Linked DNA regions of Callithrix jacchus. The protein of the gene in region 3 binds, or shares a complex with, the protein of the main gene of each other region. Links are inferred from orthologs where the notes say so. Each region holds a gene or a part of one and is shown on either strand. Other genes may lie near its edges.

Evidence for each region.
Region 1: DDX39B (region 3) and SARNP share a complex: the UniProt entries of both Homo sapiens proteins name them as parts of the transcription/export (TREX) complex. The link is inferred for Callithrix jacchus from reciprocal best matches to the Homo sapiens genes DDX39B and SARNP.
Region 2: DDX39B (region 3) and THOC6 share a complex: the UniProt entries of both Homo sapiens proteins name them as parts of the transcription/export (TREX) complex. The link is inferred for Callithrix jacchus from reciprocal best matches to the Homo sapiens genes DDX39B and THOC6.
Region 4: DDX39B (region 3) and ALYREF share a complex: the UniProt entries of both Homo sapiens proteins name them as parts of the transcription/export (TREX) complex. The link is inferred for Callithrix jacchus from reciprocal best matches to the Homo sapiens genes DDX39B and ALYREF.

The regions. Positions count from the first base shown.
Region 1 is NC_133510.1:63,834,393-63,838,404, reverse strand, and holds the start of SARNP (SAP domain-containing ribonucleoprotein), read right to left. Parts: upstream 2,812-4,012; 5' UTR 2,799-2,811; coding exon of another isoform or gene 2,763-2,798; intron 735-2,762; 5' UTR 689-734; coding exon of another isoform or gene 682-688; exon of another isoform or gene 655-681; intron 1-654. UniProt on the Homo sapiens protein: Binds both single-stranded and double-stranded DNA with higher affinity for the single-stranded form. Specifically binds to scaffold/matrix attachment region DNA. Also binds single-stranded RNA. Enhances RNA unwinding activity of DDX39A.
Region 2 is NC_133513.1:5,170,831-5,174,971, forward strand, and holds the start of THOC6 (THO complex subunit 6), read left to right. Parts: upstream 1-1,330; 5' UTR 1,331-1,612; coding exon 1,613-1,651; intron 1,652-2,636; exon of another isoform or gene 2,637-2,655; coding exon of another isoform or gene 2,656-2,694; intron 2,695-2,810; coding exon 2,811-2,926; intron 2,927-3,027; coding exon 3,028-3,092; intron 3,093-3,166; coding exon 3,167-3,270; intron 3,271-3,354; coding exon 3,355-3,392; intron 3,393-3,469; coding exon 3,470-3,518; intron 3,519-3,620; coding exon 3,621-3,692; intron 3,693-3,779; coding exon 3,780-3,882; intron 3,883-3,971; coding exon 3,972-4,021; intron 4,022-4,115; coding exon 4,116-4,141. Other genes in the region: HCFC1R1 (host cell factor C1 regulator 1), read right to left, coding at 153-288, 521-649, 763-819, 1,135-1,229. UniProt on the Homo sapiens protein: Component of the THO subcomplex of the TREX complex which is thought to couple mRNA transcription, processing and nuclear export, and which specifically associates with spliced mRNA and not with unspliced pre-mRNA.
Region 3 is NC_133505.1:39,022,657-39,026,214, reverse strand, and holds part of DDX39B (spliceosome RNA helicase DDX39B), read left to right. Parts: intron 1-202; coding exon 203-330; intron 331-620; coding exon 621-713; intron 714-3,012; coding exon 3,013-3,196; intron 3,197-3,246; exon of another isoform or gene 3,247-3,322; intron 3,323-3,558. UniProt on the Homo sapiens protein: Involved in nuclear export of spliced and unspliced mRNA. Component of the TREX complex which is thought to couple mRNA transcription, processing and nuclear export, and specifically associates with spliced mRNA and not with unspliced pre-mRNA.
Region 4 is NC_133506.1:137,488,174-137,492,408, forward strand, and holds the start of ALYREF (THO complex subunit 4), read right to left. Parts: upstream 2,812-4,235; 5' UTR 2,806-2,811; coding exon 2,548-2,805; intron 2,062-2,547; coding exon 1,930-2,061; intron 558-1,929; coding exon 410-557; intron 1-409. Other genes in the region: anaphase-promoting complex subunit 11, read left to right, coding at 4,035-4,143. UniProt on the Homo sapiens protein: Functions as an mRNA export adapter; component of the transcription/export (TREX) complex which is thought to couple mRNA transcription, processing and nuclear export, and specifically associates with spliced mRNA and not with unspliced pre-mRNA.

The DNA.
Region 1 (4,012 bases), on a different chromosome or scaffold from region 3:
ACAAGTGTGCGCCACCATGCCCAGCTAATTTTTTAATATTTTGTAGAGACAGGGTCTCACTATGTTGCCTAAGCTAGTCTCAAACTCCTGGCCTCAGCCTCCCAAAGTGCTGGGATTACAAGTATGGATCACTGCACCCAGCCAAGATTTTTTTTTAAAGGCAATAAAACCTCAAGTCAACCTAGAAGTCAGGATCATTACATCAAGATCACCAGTGGAACCAAACATAAACGTCCTAAATATCAGAATCAAAGGCATGAGTTCTTTTTTTCTTTTTGAGACAGAGTCTCACTGTCCGCCAGGCTGGAGAGCAGTGGCACAATCCAGGCTCATTGCAACCTCCACCCCGGGGCTCATGCGATTCTTGTGCCTCAGCCTTCCCAGTAGCTGGAACTACAGACACGCACTACCATGCCTGGCTAATTTTTGCATTTTGAGTAGAGGTGGGGTTTCGCCATGTTGCCCAGGCTGGTCTCCAACTCCTGGCCTCAAGCAATCCACCCATCTCAGTCTCCCAAAGTGCTAGGATTATAGGCATGAGCCACCATGCCTGGTCGAAGGCATGAGTTCTTAACCAGAGGTCCATGGACTCCTCAGGGCTACAAGGTAGTTTTATGAAGCCCCTCAAACTGCATGCAAAGTACGTGTACATGCCTTTTTCTGGCGAGAGAGGGTCCATACCTTTCATCAGAGTTTCAAAGATATCTGTGACCTCCAAAAGGTTAAGAAGTGCTCTAGAGAAAAAGCAAAGACAAGCAAATGTGATTAAAGAGTGAGTCCTTTTTAGGCTGTCAGGAGTGCCTAATGTTTTCTTAGACTGCAACACTGAAATCAGGTCAGAGGACTTTATGTAAAAGTTACTTATCCAGTCAAATACAAGTTTAATATAGATCTGACAAACACAGATTTGATGGAAGGAGGAACTCCATAAACAAACACAATTATAAAAACAAGTAAGTCATGGGGCAGCTGGTGACTTACTCCAGGGATTTCAAAAATAGGATAAATAGTGTGGTGGCTCATGCCTGTAATCCCAGAACTTCGGGAGGCCAAGGTGGGCATATCACAAGGTCAGGAGTTCGACACCAGCCTGGCCAATATGGTGAAACCCCATCTCACTAAAAATATAAAAATTAGCCAGGCATAGTAGCACATGCCTGTAGTCCCAGCCGCTCAGGAGGCTGAGGCAGGAGAATCGCTTGAACCTGGGAGGTGGAGGGAGCAGTGAGCTGAGACTCCACCACTGCACTCTCCAGCCTGGGCTACACAGTGAGACTTTGTCTCAAAAAAAAAAAAAAAAAAAAGACAAATAGAAAGAAAATATTAAGTCTTCTATGCATAGTTCCTTTTTGTCTCATTCAAAAATTCCTTTTCTATGTTTTATAATGGTACAGAAGCATACAATTTCTATAAGTACAGTATATATACACCAAGTGGAGATTATTGCTCAATTTTTCTTTTACTCATCACAATAATTATCAGGAAACCACTGATAGTCTATGCATTTCAGTACCACCAAGTTAACAATAACTTGAGAATAACACAAAAACCCACTAAACAGAGTTTAGAATCCAAGAGTAAGAAAAATATCAGCTTTCACAGAAAGACTAATAGGGGTCAACTAATAAGTGACTAAACAAAGGTCCTCTCCCTACCCTTAAGCTTTCTTAACAACAAAAACAAACAAAAAAACACTTCAAGCTTTAAAGGATCACTTTTCAGTTTCAGCTGTATCAGCCTGGTTTGTCCAAAACATCCAATAGGAAATCTACCTGTGAAACCACAGAGAATTAATCAAGATTAGTTTACCCTAAAAGAAAATACTCTTTGAAATTTTCTTTTTAATATATTTTTTAACTTTTTTATCTCTCTTAGTTGTTTGCAATCTACCTTAAATAAATACTCTCTCTTTCAGGAAAATAATAATCCAAGTATGAGAAAACTACCAAGATTCTCATAAGACAATTTAAAATAGCTTCTGTGATTCAGTGTCACCCAATGGTAAAACACCAGGAGATGCAGAGCCCATTGAGATATGAAATGGAACAGAGATAATCTTAACCTTGGAACTGTTTTTCCCAAATACTGCAGGTATGAATTCTCTCTGGTGGTAGGAGACGGTGTGTGAGGAAGGCTGGCAAGTGGAGAACCGCGTGAGAGAACTGGAAAACTTTTAAATCTGAGGTGTCTGTACTTCTATCTCAAGGCCTCCTCAACCCCAGGCTTCTAAGGTGAGGCCTTTCCCTGGTTTCAAAATTCTCCCTGGTGGCGTAATCCCACCTAGAAAAGGGGAGTGTCTGGGATCTATTCAAATAGCGACACACAAAAATGCCACCATCTGCTAATATAATAGGCGAGTCTCAGCTTCAGAAGACAGACTGGAAACATAATTCCAGGGAAGAAAAAGGGATCCTGGGTCCGACGTGGGGCAAAGAGGAGGGACCAACTGACGTAATGCAGACCAGAAGAGCAACGAGGAGTATAACAGGTAGAAGGCACTTACAACCTGGTGGACAAGGGTGACGGACGATACAAGGATGAAGGGAACAGAAATAACAAAAAAATATAGCAGTAAAACCGTGAGGAGAAATGGAAAATTAGGGAAGGCGTAGTGTGGAAGGGTGGCACAAAAGAGCTACGGCGGGAGCCAAGAAACAAAGTAGAAAAGGCTGCAAGGAGAACACGTAGGAGAAGACGCAAGTCACTGTGCAGAATTCAGTTCCCAGAAAAGTCCAACTGAGCCCTTCCCCGATTTACGGTACCTTCAGCTTATGGAGCTCCACCGTCTCGGTCGCCATCTTGTTACCCCTCACTCCGCTAAGCCCCCACCCGCTGCCTCCGCCTCCAGGAGCTCCCGCCTTAGGCGTAGAGATGCAAGGCTGACCAATCGTTGCCACTCTTGCTCCCACTACATACCATCAGCTCTTCCCATTGGTCAATAGCTGACGTCCCTCATGTCTCTCGGCAGCTTTCCCCACCTCTTTCAAAAGGGGGGACAGAGAGAGGGGCGGGCACTTATCTTACGAACGACAGAAATGGCAACCAATTGTGCGTCTGCATCACATATCACCAACCGCTGATTATGTTCCTCCAATAGGGAAGGGGCAGACGGAGAGGAGTCACTTCCTGGAGACTTCAGATGTGGTAGCCGGCGCCTCGCCCATAAGCAGACAGGGATCTGAAGCTGGCAGGTAGGGGCCGCGAGGACTAGAAAGGTTGCTAAGGAAATATGGTGGGAGGCGAAAGGGGCGCCGAGGAAGCGGTGACTTAAATGCTGAGAAACGAATGCTGAAGGGAGCCCTGAAAAAAACCGACGAACATGAGAGGAGGAAGCTGGGAGGGAATGGGGCGGGCTTAAGGAACTGGCGGGTGGCTGGGGCGGGCAAGAGCCGCTTCCTAACCAGACATCATCAGCTTTAGAGCTACCACAATTTTAAAGATCCGAGTTCAGTTGATCACTGCCGCCCCTGGAGTCAGAGCTAAGGCTCCATCTCTCGAAACGTTGAGCTCAGGTTCCTTCCTAACCCAGTCCAGAAGGCGTGGGCAAGTTGTTGTCGTGCCCCACGCTTGAGAGAAGCAGTGGGGATGCTGACTGCTGACATGCCACGGAGGTGAGACAGGGTGGACAAGCCCCAGAGAACAGGTTGGGACTAGAGCTTTACTCTGTCATCCCTTCTTAGTGGTTCTTTGATGATTCCATGACTTTCTCCTGGAATTCTGGGTGTGCGTGACCTCTTCATGGTTAACTTCTTCAGGAAAGTGAGATTTCCTGTTTCCCTTGCTCCCTGAAGTGAGTGCCCCAAGCCTACGCATACACCTTCATGTTACAGTTGAAACGTAAAGATCAGTGAGAAAATGACTATGTCTCTAAAATGTAGTGAGGATTCTTCTTGCCTTTTAAAGTTTTCCCCAAGTCTTCAGTTTTTATTTTCTGCGTGATGGGGAAGTTCTTCATTCCCAATAGAGTTCAGGGAATCTGAGAGACAGCTGGGAGAAAGCTCGAAGAGGGGCT
Region 2 (4,141 bases), on a different chromosome or scaffold from region 3:
CCAGAGCTCCATTGGGCTCAGAGTCCTCTGTTGAGGGAAGGTCTTGGTGCCTGGTCTGGAGGAGAGGGAGGCTCCTTGTCCCTTTGCGGGAGTCGCTGGTCTCTTCTGTTGTGGGGACGAAGGAAGCTGGGAGGGGCGCTGTCCACTAGCACTCAGAGCTCCATTATGTCCCCAGCTGGGGTCGAAGGGTAGGAGGGACTGGGGATGTCCCCCAGCCTCAGCAACCGGAGGGCTTCAGGGATGAGGCTGCCAGGGTATCGCCAGAGAAGCAGCTCAGAGCAAGAGCTCCTAGAAGAGGAAATGATAGTCGGCAAGGGGGCTGAGGCGGCCTAACTGAGCACCTCCCACCAGGTCCAGGTCCCCAGGGGCTCCCGGGTTCTCAGCACTTTCCAAAGAGCCAAGATGGGAAACAACCCAGAGGTCAGCTAGAGCTAAAAATGGCACGATGAGGCAGGGCCTGAGGTCAGCTCTGAGAACCGCCTGTGATCCTGCAGAAAGCCTGGCCAGTGGAGGAGCCTACCTGAGTGGGGGCAGGGCCGGGGGGAAGGTCATAGGGGGGCTGCAGTAGGGGTGATCATTGTGCAGGCTGAGTTGAGAGAAATGGGTGGCCATGTTCTCCTCAGACAAAAACTGCTTGCGCAGAGGCTCCCTGGGGAGAGATGAAAGAGAGGGAGGCTGGGAAACTGAGACAGGAGACAGCGTGTTGGGGACCAGAGGTGACAGAGATCTTGTTGGGAGTCCCTCCCTGCCCCCCAAACTCACTGCTCCTCCTCCAGGCGCCGCTTGGTGCTCAGGGGCACAGCTCCTCGGAGAGGGGAGCTGGGAAAAAAAGAGAGCCTGGTGCACCCCACCCTCTTGGCCCCTTCCCAAGGATCTGCCCGCCTGAGCCTGCAGCATCAGCCAGGAGCCCCAAGCCCATTCCTGTCTCAGGTGGTGCTTGTCCCCTCTCTTCTGGGCCATCCAGCAGCGTACCTCGAAAGTCTCGACCTTGAGCCGAAGACCCAATCCGGTCTCAGTTTACACCTAAGCCCCGCCGATTCGCCCTACACCGTGTCCATCTGCAGACCAGCCCTGAGCACCCAGCCAAAGCTCCTGCGGCCCTTGGTCAGGCCCACCCTGGTCCCCTACACGCACCTAGCGTCCAGGCCGCGAGTCACCCCCAAGGCGGCCCGCGGGAGGCGCTGGGCCCCACCCTGCGGGCCTCGCTCCAAGGGCTGCTCCAGGATCATTGGGTTTTGGGGTCCTGCGGGTGGGATCTGGGCGACGGAGGCGGAGTCTCTGAGGGCGTGGCCCAACGCGAAGGGGTGTGGCTTTAGGCGTGCGCAGCTGCGAGGTTCTGCGCGGGCGCGGAAGACGTGGGGCGCGTGGCGGAAGGCGGGCCTGTTCCTCGGGGTGGGGGAAGGGATCGGCTTAGCGGAACTGCGGTGGGCGTCACTTCTTAGTGTCGGGGGTTTTCGTGGTGCTCACCTCGGCTCCTGGGGTTCAGTACAGTACGCAGCAGTCACCTTCGCGCCGAAGGCGGCAGGGCGCCGCGAGGAGTAACCGCTCTAGGAACGTACGGCATCGTGAGATTGCGTTGCGCGCGAGCACTCTGGGACTTGTAGTTCTGGAGATGGAGCGAGCTGTGCCGCTCGCGGTGCCTCTGGGTCAGGTGAGACGGACGTGGTGCGCGGTGCCTTCTGGGGTTTGTAGTCCATGCATGACTTGGACAGGGCGGGCAGGGAATAGTGCCCCGAGCCCTGTTTTGCTAGGGCTGTTTGTGGGACTCAGATTATGACCGGGTCGGGGGGTGGGGCGGGAAAGTAACCAATAAGGCCTCAGGGGCTTAACGCAAGTCAGAGAATAGGGATTACAAGTCAGTACGTTTTTCTATGTTGGGGTAGTAGAGCCACTTTTTTTTTTTTTTTTTTTTAAATCGGGCTGGTCTTGAACTCCTGACCTCAGGTGATCCACCCACCTCTGCCTCCCAAGGTGCTAGGATTACAGGCGTGAGCCAGCGCGCCCAGCCGAGCAGAACCACTTTTTAAACACTTTTTTTTTTTTTTTTTTTGAGACCGAGTCTGTCCCCAGGCTGGGGTGCAATGGTGAGATCTCGGCTCACTGCAACTTGTGCCTCCCAGGTTCAAGCGATTCTCCTGCCTCAGCCTACAGAGTAGCTGGGCCTACAGGCATGTGCCACCACGGCCAGCTAATTTTTGTGTTTTTAGTAAAGACAGGATTTCACCATGTTGGCCAGGCTGGTCTCAAACTCCTGACCTCAGGTAATCTGCCTGTCTTGGCCTCCCAAAGTGCTGGGATTACAGGTGTGAGCCACCGTGCCTGGCCAAATTTTTAAATTTTTTTTTTTTTGTAGAGATAGAGTCTCACTATGTTTCCCAGGCTGCTCTCGAACTCCTGGCATCAAGCGATCCTCCCGCCTCAGCCTCCCAGATCGCTGGGATTACAGGCTTGAGCCATGGCACCTGGCTTAAGCACTGAGTGACAGCTTTGTGCAAAGCTCTGTCTATACACTAGCTCATCTAATCGTGACAATCTCCTGTGAGCTCCATTTGAAAGTTGAGGAAGCTGGTAGGAGAGGCTTGGGTGTTTGCTCAGAGGTTCATGAGGCGTCACACCTCAACTCTCCCCTTCTTCAGTGTCTTCTTGGAGCCACCTATGGGACTGCATGGGCAGGTGCTGGCTGCTGCAAAAGAGGTCTGAGAAGTCAGGACAGTGGGAGGCCTGGCAGGTGTAGCGGGGAAGCAGGGAGGAGTCTGTGGATGGGAGGTTTCAGATGTCCCAGGCAGGCCTCATCCAGTCTTTCCTTGCAGGCAGAGGTGTTCCAGGCCTTGCAGCGGCTCCATATGACCATCTTCTCCCAAAGCGTCTCACCGTGTGGGAAGTTTCTGGCAGCTGGCAACAATTATGGGCAGATCGCCATCTTTAGGTACCCTCTGCTGCCGTCCACCCATTAGCCCTGGCACTTGGTCTTCATGGGACAGATGCCCCTGTTTCTGACTCCTGGGTCCCCTCCATTGTCCCCTGCAGCTTGTCTGCTGCTTTGAGCTCGGAAGCCAAAGAGGAAAGTAAGAAGCCGGTGGTGACTTTCCAAGGTGGGTCTAGCTGTGGAGTCTGGCTTCGGGGCTTTGGGTGGGATCGGCTGACTTACTTCCGGATTTCTCTTCAGCCCATGATGGGCCGGTCTACAGCATGGTCTCCACAGATCGACATCTGCTCAGTGCTGGGGATGGGGAGGTGAAGGCCTGGCTTTGGGTGGAGATGCTCAAGAAGGTAAGGAGTGAGGCTGGGGCAAGGGCTGGGGTACCCAGACCCAAAAAGGGCCTTTGAGGTCGCCTCATGTTTTTCCTTTTGAAGGGCTGTAAGGAGCTGTGGTGCCGTCAGCCTCCATACAGGTGAGCCAGGGCCACGTGGATAGAGGGCGCATGGGGGTGAAGGCACTCCCTCACTTACCCTGACTTTCCTCCCCCAGGACCAGCCTGGAAGTGCCTGAGATCAATGCTTTGCTGCTGGTCCCCAAGGTCTGAGCCCCATGTGACTGTTGTTGGTCCAAACTTTGATTCTTCACTCTCTGCCTTTCCTGATTTGACACTGACTTCCTGCCTCACCCTCCTCCTTCACAGGAGAATTCTCTCATCCTGGCTGGGGGAGACTGTCAGCTGCACACTATGGACCTTGAAACTGGGACCTTCACGGTGAGCAGGGGCTTGGAGCCCTAGAGCAGGTCCAGGCCAGGGAGAGGCACTCTTCCTAGATCTCCTCACATTGCCCCTCTACTGCAGCGGGTCCTCCGGGGCCACACAGACTACATCCATTGCCTGGCATTGAGAGAAAGGAGCCCAGAGGTGCTGTCGGGTGGTGAGGATGGAGCTGTTCGACTTTGGGGTAAGGAGGTGGCTGGCTGGAGGGCAAGATGGCAGTGAGGGAGGCTGAGGCTCGTGGGGCACTACTTAGGGTGGGTTCTTTCCCTGCAGACTTGCGCACAGCCAAGGAGGTCCAGACAATCGAGGTCTATAAGCACGAGGTGAGGGTGTGACCGTGGCCATTGTCCTCTTTCCCAGAAACTCCTTTAACCCTCTAGGACTTCACCTCTTTCCCTCCTCCCCTTCCCCTCCCAGGAGTGCTCCAGGCCCCACAATGGGCG
Region 3 (3,558 bases):
GGAGGAATGAGGAGTGTTTGATTTTGAGGTGAATGTGGTTGAAGGAGCAGAGAGAGGTAGAAAGTCTGGAAGTTGTCAAGAACCAAGTACATACTAGACTTTGAGAATTGAGTGGTAAGGAATGGGGTTGGCATGATGAAAAAGGTGGTAGAGTTATCTGGAGACTGGAGTCTAATTTATCTTTCCTCCCCCCTTCTTTTAGTCCAGCATGAGTGCATCCCTCAGGCCATTCTGGGAATGGATGTCCTGTGCCAGGCCAAGTCGGGCATGGGAAAGACAGCAGTGTTTGTCTTGGCCACACTGCAACAGCTGGAGCCAGTTACTGGGCAGGTACATTTGGGGAGAGTGCTGGGGAAGGGATTTTGGTTAGGATTATAAGGGAAAGGGGTTTTTGTCCTAGCTACATGATGCTTGCAGAGCCATGAGCACATAACCGCTGTTAGCCTTGACAACCTGACAGCTGTGGGGAATGTTCTGTTGCAAGCATAGAGTTCATGATTTAGGTCACAGAATTAAAGTCATTTATCACTGGCCAGGTATATTTTTGTGACAATCACTTCCCTAGAGGAGATAATGAAGGGCTGTACTTACTGTATGTCTCCATCTACTTCCTGCCTAAGGTGTCTGTGCTGGTGATGTGTCACACTCGGGAGTTGGCTTTTCAGATCAGCAAGGAATATGAGCGCTTTTCTAAATATATGCCCAATGTCAAGGTAAGTCAAGGTAAAGAGACCTGAGAGTGAGGATGTGGCAAGTTGGAGGGATGAGAAACTTAATTTTGGAGAAACTATAGTTTGCCTTGGTTTAACAGAGTGTTAAGATCCTGTATAACAGGAGGATTCATTTCATAAGTGGGCTATGGATGATGCTCAAGACCACCCTTTTCTTACTACTTCATACTGAATTGAATCCTATCAGTTTGATCATTTTGAGGTGTGTGGCAGAGAAAGCTAGAAACTTTAAAAACAGCTCCAGTGGTGAGAATTTTGAGGATTCTGGCCAAGCATGGTGGCTCACTCCTGTAATCTCAGTACTTTGGGAGGCCAAGGTGGGTGGACCACTTGAGGTCAGGAGTCCGAGACCAGTCTGGCCAACACGGTGAAATCCTGTGTATGAAAAATGCAAAAATTAGCCTGGCGTGGTGACATGCACCTGTAGTCCCTCCTACTTGGGAGGCTGAGGTGGGAGAATCCCTGGGAACTGGGAGGCAAAGGTTGCAGTGAGCTGAGATTGTGCCACTGCACTCCAGCCTGGGTGACTTGAGACTTGGTCTCAAAAAAAAAAAAATTTTTTTTGTTTTTAAATTTAAGTTAAGCATTTTTGGCAAGAATGCTGCATAGGTGATGCTGTATCTCCTGTTATGCCACAAATCTGGTTGATCTATCTTTTTTTATTTTATTTTTATTTTATTTCGAGGTGGAGTTCTCTGTTTCTCAGGCTGTGAGTGCAGTGGTGCAATCTCAGCTCACTGCAACCTGTGCCTCCCAGGTTAAAGTGATTCTCCTGCCTCAACCTCCCGAGTAGTTGGGACTACATAGTGCCATCACGCCCAGCTAATTTTTGTATTTTTAGTAGCGACAGGGTTTCACCATGTTGGCCAGGTGGATCTCAAACTCCTGACCTCAAGTGAGCCACCTACCTTGGTCTCCCAAAGTGCTGGGATTACAGGCGTGAGCCATCACGCCTGGCCTCGTTAGAGATTTTAGATTTACGGTGGGATTAGTGTCATGACAGTTTGATTCCATGGTTCTTCTTTTCCCCCTTGAAACTAGAAAGTAGTTTCTGGTGTTACTTGATAGCGTACCAAGGCCCAGATCCCTAAATAACTATTCACCTAATGGATTTAACATGGAGTGATAATATTTAACCTCAAGCAATAATTTCATGGGGTTTGTGTGGAGATTCTGGGTTTATTTAGGATAACTTGATGTTTCGTGTGTTTTTTGTGGTACTTTACACTCATCTGGTGATTTCTTGCTGTTGTTTATTTATTACTATATTACTATTTGAGACAAGAGTCTTGCTCTGTTACCCAGGCTGGAGTGCAGTAGCATGATCTGAGCTTACTGTAACCTCTGCCTCTCGGGTTCAAGTGTTTCTTGCTGCCTCAACCTCCCGAGTAGCGCCCGCCACTGCGCCTGGCTAATTTTTGTATTTTTAGTAGACATGGGGTTTCACCATCTTGGTCAGGCTTATCTTGAACTCCTGACCTCGTGATCCACCCACCTCGACCTCCCAGAGTGTTGGGATTGCAGGCATTAGCCACTGCACCCGGCCTATATTTATTTTTTATTTATTCCTTGAGGTGGAGTCTCCCTCTGTTGCCCAGGCTGGAGTGCAGTGGCTTGATCTCCACTCACTGCAACTTCTGCCTCCCAGGTTCAAGCAATTCTCCTGCCTCAATCTCCTGGGTTATTTTTGTATTTTTAGTAGAGATGGGGTTTCACTGTATTGGCCAGGCTGGTCTTGAACTCCTGGCTTGAAGTGATCCACCTGCCTTGGCCTCCCAAAATGCTAGGATTACAGGTGTGAGCCACCGAGCCCAGCCTTATTTTTATTTTTATTTTTTGAGATGGTGTATCCCTCTTGTCACCCATGCTGGAGTACAGATCGTGGCTCACTGCAACCTCTGCCTCCAGGTTCAAGTGATTCTCGTGCCTCAGCCTCCCAAGTAGCTGGGATTACAAGAATGTGCCACCATACCTGGCTCCTTGATTTTTTAAATGAAGCCTGGCCTCATAAATGAAGGAAGATGGTTAGATTAAGTCAGAAGAACTGAATTCTTGTCCTGACTGTTCTGAGTAGTTCTGTAACTTGAGGCAATCACTTTTGTTATAAACCTCAGTGTTTGGTGGGGCGACATAAAATTTTTAAATTAGGTGACCTCTAAAAGTTTATTGTAGTTTTGAAACATGCTAAAAATTGGTTTAGCTCAAACTGAGAGTGGGAACCCTGGGGGGATTGGACTCTTTCCTTCCTTGTTTTTGAGACTCTTTGCTCTTGGCTTGGCAGGTTGCTGTGTTTTTTGGTGGTCTGTCTATCAAGAAGGATGAAGAGGTGCTGAAGAAGAACTGCCCGCATATCGTCGTGGGGACTCCAGGCCGTATCCTAGCCCTGGCTCGAAATAAGAGCCTCAACCTCAAACACATTAAACACTTTATTTTGGATGAATGCGATAAAATGCTTGAACAGCTCGGTGAGTGGCAGTGCTGGGGCTTGGCTAATGCTGGGGAGTTGTTCTTTGGAGCCAAATGATGTTTATTTGAAACAGGAGCACCTCAGTGTAAGGACGACTCTTATCTATCACCCATGACTGATGGCTCTGGGTTCCCTGGTTGGTTTTTATTCTTTTAAGCACAGTAAGGGGGTCATCTATCATCTTTCTATGATTTCTTTTTAACCTTTGAGAATAGGGGACTTTGATAATTTAGGCATAAGTCGTCACCACCACTACCCTTTCCATTAAATATTTCTGTACTGGGAGTCATAGGGGATATTCTAAACTGAAGGAGAAGACTGTCTACCCTTATGGCATCTCCAGCACAACATACACAGTCA
Region 4 (4,235 bases), on a different chromosome or scaffold from region 3:
CCTCACTCCTTCTCAGTCTAGACTAGGTGGGCTGCTTGCTGAGGTGTTGGGGTGCTCGTAGGTGGAGAGGTGTGGGTGACCTGACGAAGAAGAACCGGTACCTTTGTCTTTACGACTACAGCCCCGCACTCAGAGGTGTACTATGGCGGTTCTGAGAAGGCTTCACAGAAGTGAATCTTCCGGAAGGAGCTGAAGGAGGGGAGGGATGTAGCTTGCTGGATGGGGGTTCACAAGAGGTTGGTCCAGATGTGTGGGGCAGCATGAGAGGTGGCAGATGGAAGAGAGAGACAAAGGGGCAAATGCAAAGTGTCCTCAGCCACAGGGGTACCCCATATTCCTACCTGGACAGGTGCCAGCCCCAAACTCCACAAGCCCGACAGTCAGCGTGGGTCCCCCCGCCCACACTCACCATCCAGAGGGACACCGTTATACTGCTTCATGGCTTTCAGGGCGTCTGCCTTCCGCTCAAAGTGTACATCTGCTGTTCCTAAGCTGCGGCCAGAGCGGTCATAGTGCACAGCTGCCTTTTTCAGTGTTCCAAATTCAGCAAAGAGTTCCTGGAGTTGCAAAGAGCAGTTGTCAGAAGAGCAACAAAACTGTGCTCCTTCTGGTGGCCCAGGGACAGGCCCTGGAAGCGTGAGCTGTTTTGGGGGTGGTTCCCTGGGAGGCAGGGCAGTGGTAATGGGAAATGAGGGAAGGGCAGGGCAGGAGGGACAGCAACTTCCAAGAGCGCCTGGGTCTGAGGGCTCCTGCCATTGAGGGGACCTGACAGGTGTACCACGATGCAGGTAGAGGAAGTCGCAAAGCCCACTAGAAAGGGGCACAAAATTAAGCCACTATCCTCTTCAACAAAGGAAAATTTACAACACACCCAAGGGCTGTTCCAAGAAACTGTAAAGGCCAAGATCAAGAGCAAGGGAACTGGTCCGGTATCAGACCAGCTTGAAGGGCCTGTTGACTTGGGAACCCTGACCCCAGCCCCTCCCCCAAAGGCAGATTCTGGCTCACCTTTCCCTCTCCTCCTACTCAAGCCTGCGGCAAAGTCTGAAGTCAAGCGCTGCCATGGAAACTGCCCTGACCTCAGGCAGGCTGGGAGTTGGAGAGGGAACCCAGAGTGTGGGGATACTCCGGCCGCAGGCACACAGCGGGAAGTGGAGTTCACCAAAAGCGGTTTCCAGTGGATGCTAGAAACCACCTTAAAAAAAGTGTTGAGACACTGTGAGTGCTCACTGGCCCTGCTCTGTCCTCCCAAGGCAAATGGCTAGGCTGTGGACAACTGAACCCTGCCCAGCCATCTCCAAAACTGATTCCCAAAAAGCCACTTCTTAACCAGAAAACAACTTTAAATGCCGTTGGGATTCAATTTTTCTTTCTTTCTTTTTTTTTTTTTTTTTTTTAAAAAAAAGCTTTAATGAGTTAGAGAATCAAGTCGCTGACAGGACATGGGGGCGGGGAGTGATAAAACCACAATTTACAAGGTCTTTTTAAGACAATACTCAAGTCAAACAGAGCTAGAAAAACACACAGGCTCCCTCTGCTTTACAAGGTACATAAGGAAGATTCTTTTTGTCACATTAACCCACTAAAACAGGCACTAAATTTAAAGCACAAGTGGGCTGAGTCTAACAGCCAAGAACCACTCACATTTGATCAGTCTTTTTCTCTGTTAGAAACTGGAAGCCCTGGCAGAGGATTTTCACTCACAGAACCCATATTCAGACTAAGAGCAGCAGATCCTCAGGCTAGGCTAGGCTCGCACCTGCCTGCGGACTGACCCTGGCTTTACTGGCGCTAGGTCTGTCCTGCAGCCCTTCAGAGCTGGGAGGGCTCCCTTTGCCAAGGCGGGAAGGGGACTCAGGGCCACATCCCCCAAAATATGATCCGTCCTGTGCAGGGCGAACGGGTCACCGAGAAGCCTTAGTCTCTTACCTGAATATCGGCATCTGACACTCCAAAATCCAGATTGGACACCAGCAGTTTCCCACCCGTCTCCACGCCGGCACCACCCCCGAAGCCACTGTCGAAAAGATCGTGCTGCCACTTGTCAGGAAGCTGTTTTGGCTGAAGGAAAAACCACAACAACAGCAGACCTGTGAGTCTCAGTCCAGGGCTTTCCCAGTCCTCGCGGCGACCCCGGACCCTTCCTCTTCCCGGCCTGAGAGGATCCGGCGGAGATGAGGCCGCCAGCGCTCCCTCCGGCCGCTAAAGCAGCCCCAGGTACGAGGCCGCACGGTCCCACCGCGGCAGCACAACTTCAGTTCCCTTCCACTAACTTCCCGCCGCTGTTGCCGCGCTCAGCTACCCCTCCGCTCACGCCGCCACGAGGTCCCGGCGGCCGGAACAAAGGGTTGAAAAGGGTCTCAGCCTCCGGGCCGGGCCCGGAATGAACGACCTCGCCCCCGCCCACCACCCCCTATGCGCCCTCCCACACGCACCCTCCGGACCTCCGGGCGGCCGCTCCACCAGCCCTATCAGCCAGCCGGGCTCGGCCTTCGCCGCCAGCCTCCCCGGCTTGCCCTCTCCGGTGCGGCCGGCCTCCACACTCACCCTGCTGTAGGGCGCCGGTCGGTTCCTCCCGCCTCCGCCGGCCGCGCCGCGGGCGATGGCCGGCCGGGTCCGGATAGGCCCGCCGCCTCGATTCACTCGCGCGGCGGCCTGCGCCCCGCCGCCGCGGCCGCCTTGGGAGCCGACCCGGCCGCGGCCCCGGCCCCCGCCGCGGCCTCCTCGCTGGCTCCGGTTCAGTTTAATGATGTCGTCCAGAGACATGTCCATTTTGTCGGCCATGGCGGGCGCGGAATCGGGCATCGGCTCGAGCCCGCGCGTCAGCACGCCAGCACGTCACCTCCGGCGCCGCGTGAGGCCTTCCGGTGCTACGGCCTCGGAGCGGCTAGTGATTGGCCGCCTGCGGACCGCAGCGCGCGCGGGACGGGGAGAGACGGGGAAGCGCGTGCGCACTGCCGCGCGGGACTCGGCGGGCGCTGCTGAGGGAGCCGGGCCGTGACTGTGGTCGTTTTTATACCTTCCCGCGCGGACGTCAGCGCTGCCAACGGAAGGGCGGGCAGAGCCGTGCGTGATTAGGTTGGCGAAGGTGCGAGGCCGCAGGGGGTTGGGCGGCGGTCGTTGGGAGTGGGGCATGCGCTCCCCTCCCTCCCCGCCTGCCCCGCCCTTCTGCTAGGGCTGGGGGCGCTGCGGGCGCGGCGGGTGTCCGGGAACCTGCGGGGGTCCTTGTTTCTGCGCCCGCCCGAGGGCTGTGCGCTTGGCTCGGGGCGGGATCCTGCGGGAGTGGCCTCAGCGGGCTGCAGCCGGTGCAGACCTGCTGCGGGTTGCTTTTTGGTTTTTGAGCCGGGGTTTTTGGTCTCCACCTGCAACCTCGAAGTCTCCAATCTCACATTTGCTAGTCATATCCTTTACAAGTTTTGGTACGGGCCCGGCGCGGGGCTCACGCCTGTGCTCCAAACTTTTTGGGAGGCCGAGGCAAGAGGATCGCTTCACCCTAGGAGTTTGAGACCAGCTGGGGCAACGTAGTGAGACCCCCATATCTAAAAAAAAAAAGTCGAAAGTCGGGTGTGCCATTGCACACTTGTAATCCCAGCTGCTTGGGAGGCCGAGGTGGAAGGATTGCTTGAGCTCAGTGAGGCCAGCCGGGCAACATAGTGAGACACTGTCTCTTAAAAAAAAAAAATTAGTCGGGCCGGGCGCGATGACTCATGTCTGTAATCCCAGCACTTTGGGAGGCCGGCTTGAACCCGGGAGGCGGAGATTGCAGTGAGCCAAGAGTGCGCCCTTGTACTCTAGCCTACACGACAGAGCAAGACTCCGTCTCAAAAACAAAAGAAAAGTAAAATAGAAACGGCTTACGATGTTCCTAGGCTGGGTTCGAATTCCTGGGCTGGAGTGATCTCCTGCCTTGGCCCCTTGAGTAGCTGAGACTACACTGTGCCAGGCTTATTCCTATTTTGGTGCCTAAATCTTCTAGTTCTGCAGACTAAATTAAGCCTGTCATCCTCTTCCCTTCGGGTACAGGCTCTGCTGCCATGAAGGTGAAGATTAAGTGCTGGAATGGCGTGGCCACTTGGCTCTGGGTGGCCAACGATGAGAACTGTGGCATCTGCAGGATGGCGTTTAATGGCTGCTGCCCCGACTGTGAGTGTCCCTTCCGCTGTCTGCCTGCTGGACTAGCCTCAGTGGCTCCTGTTAAATATACTTGCAGGAAATCCCCACATTTTCCTTTTTTT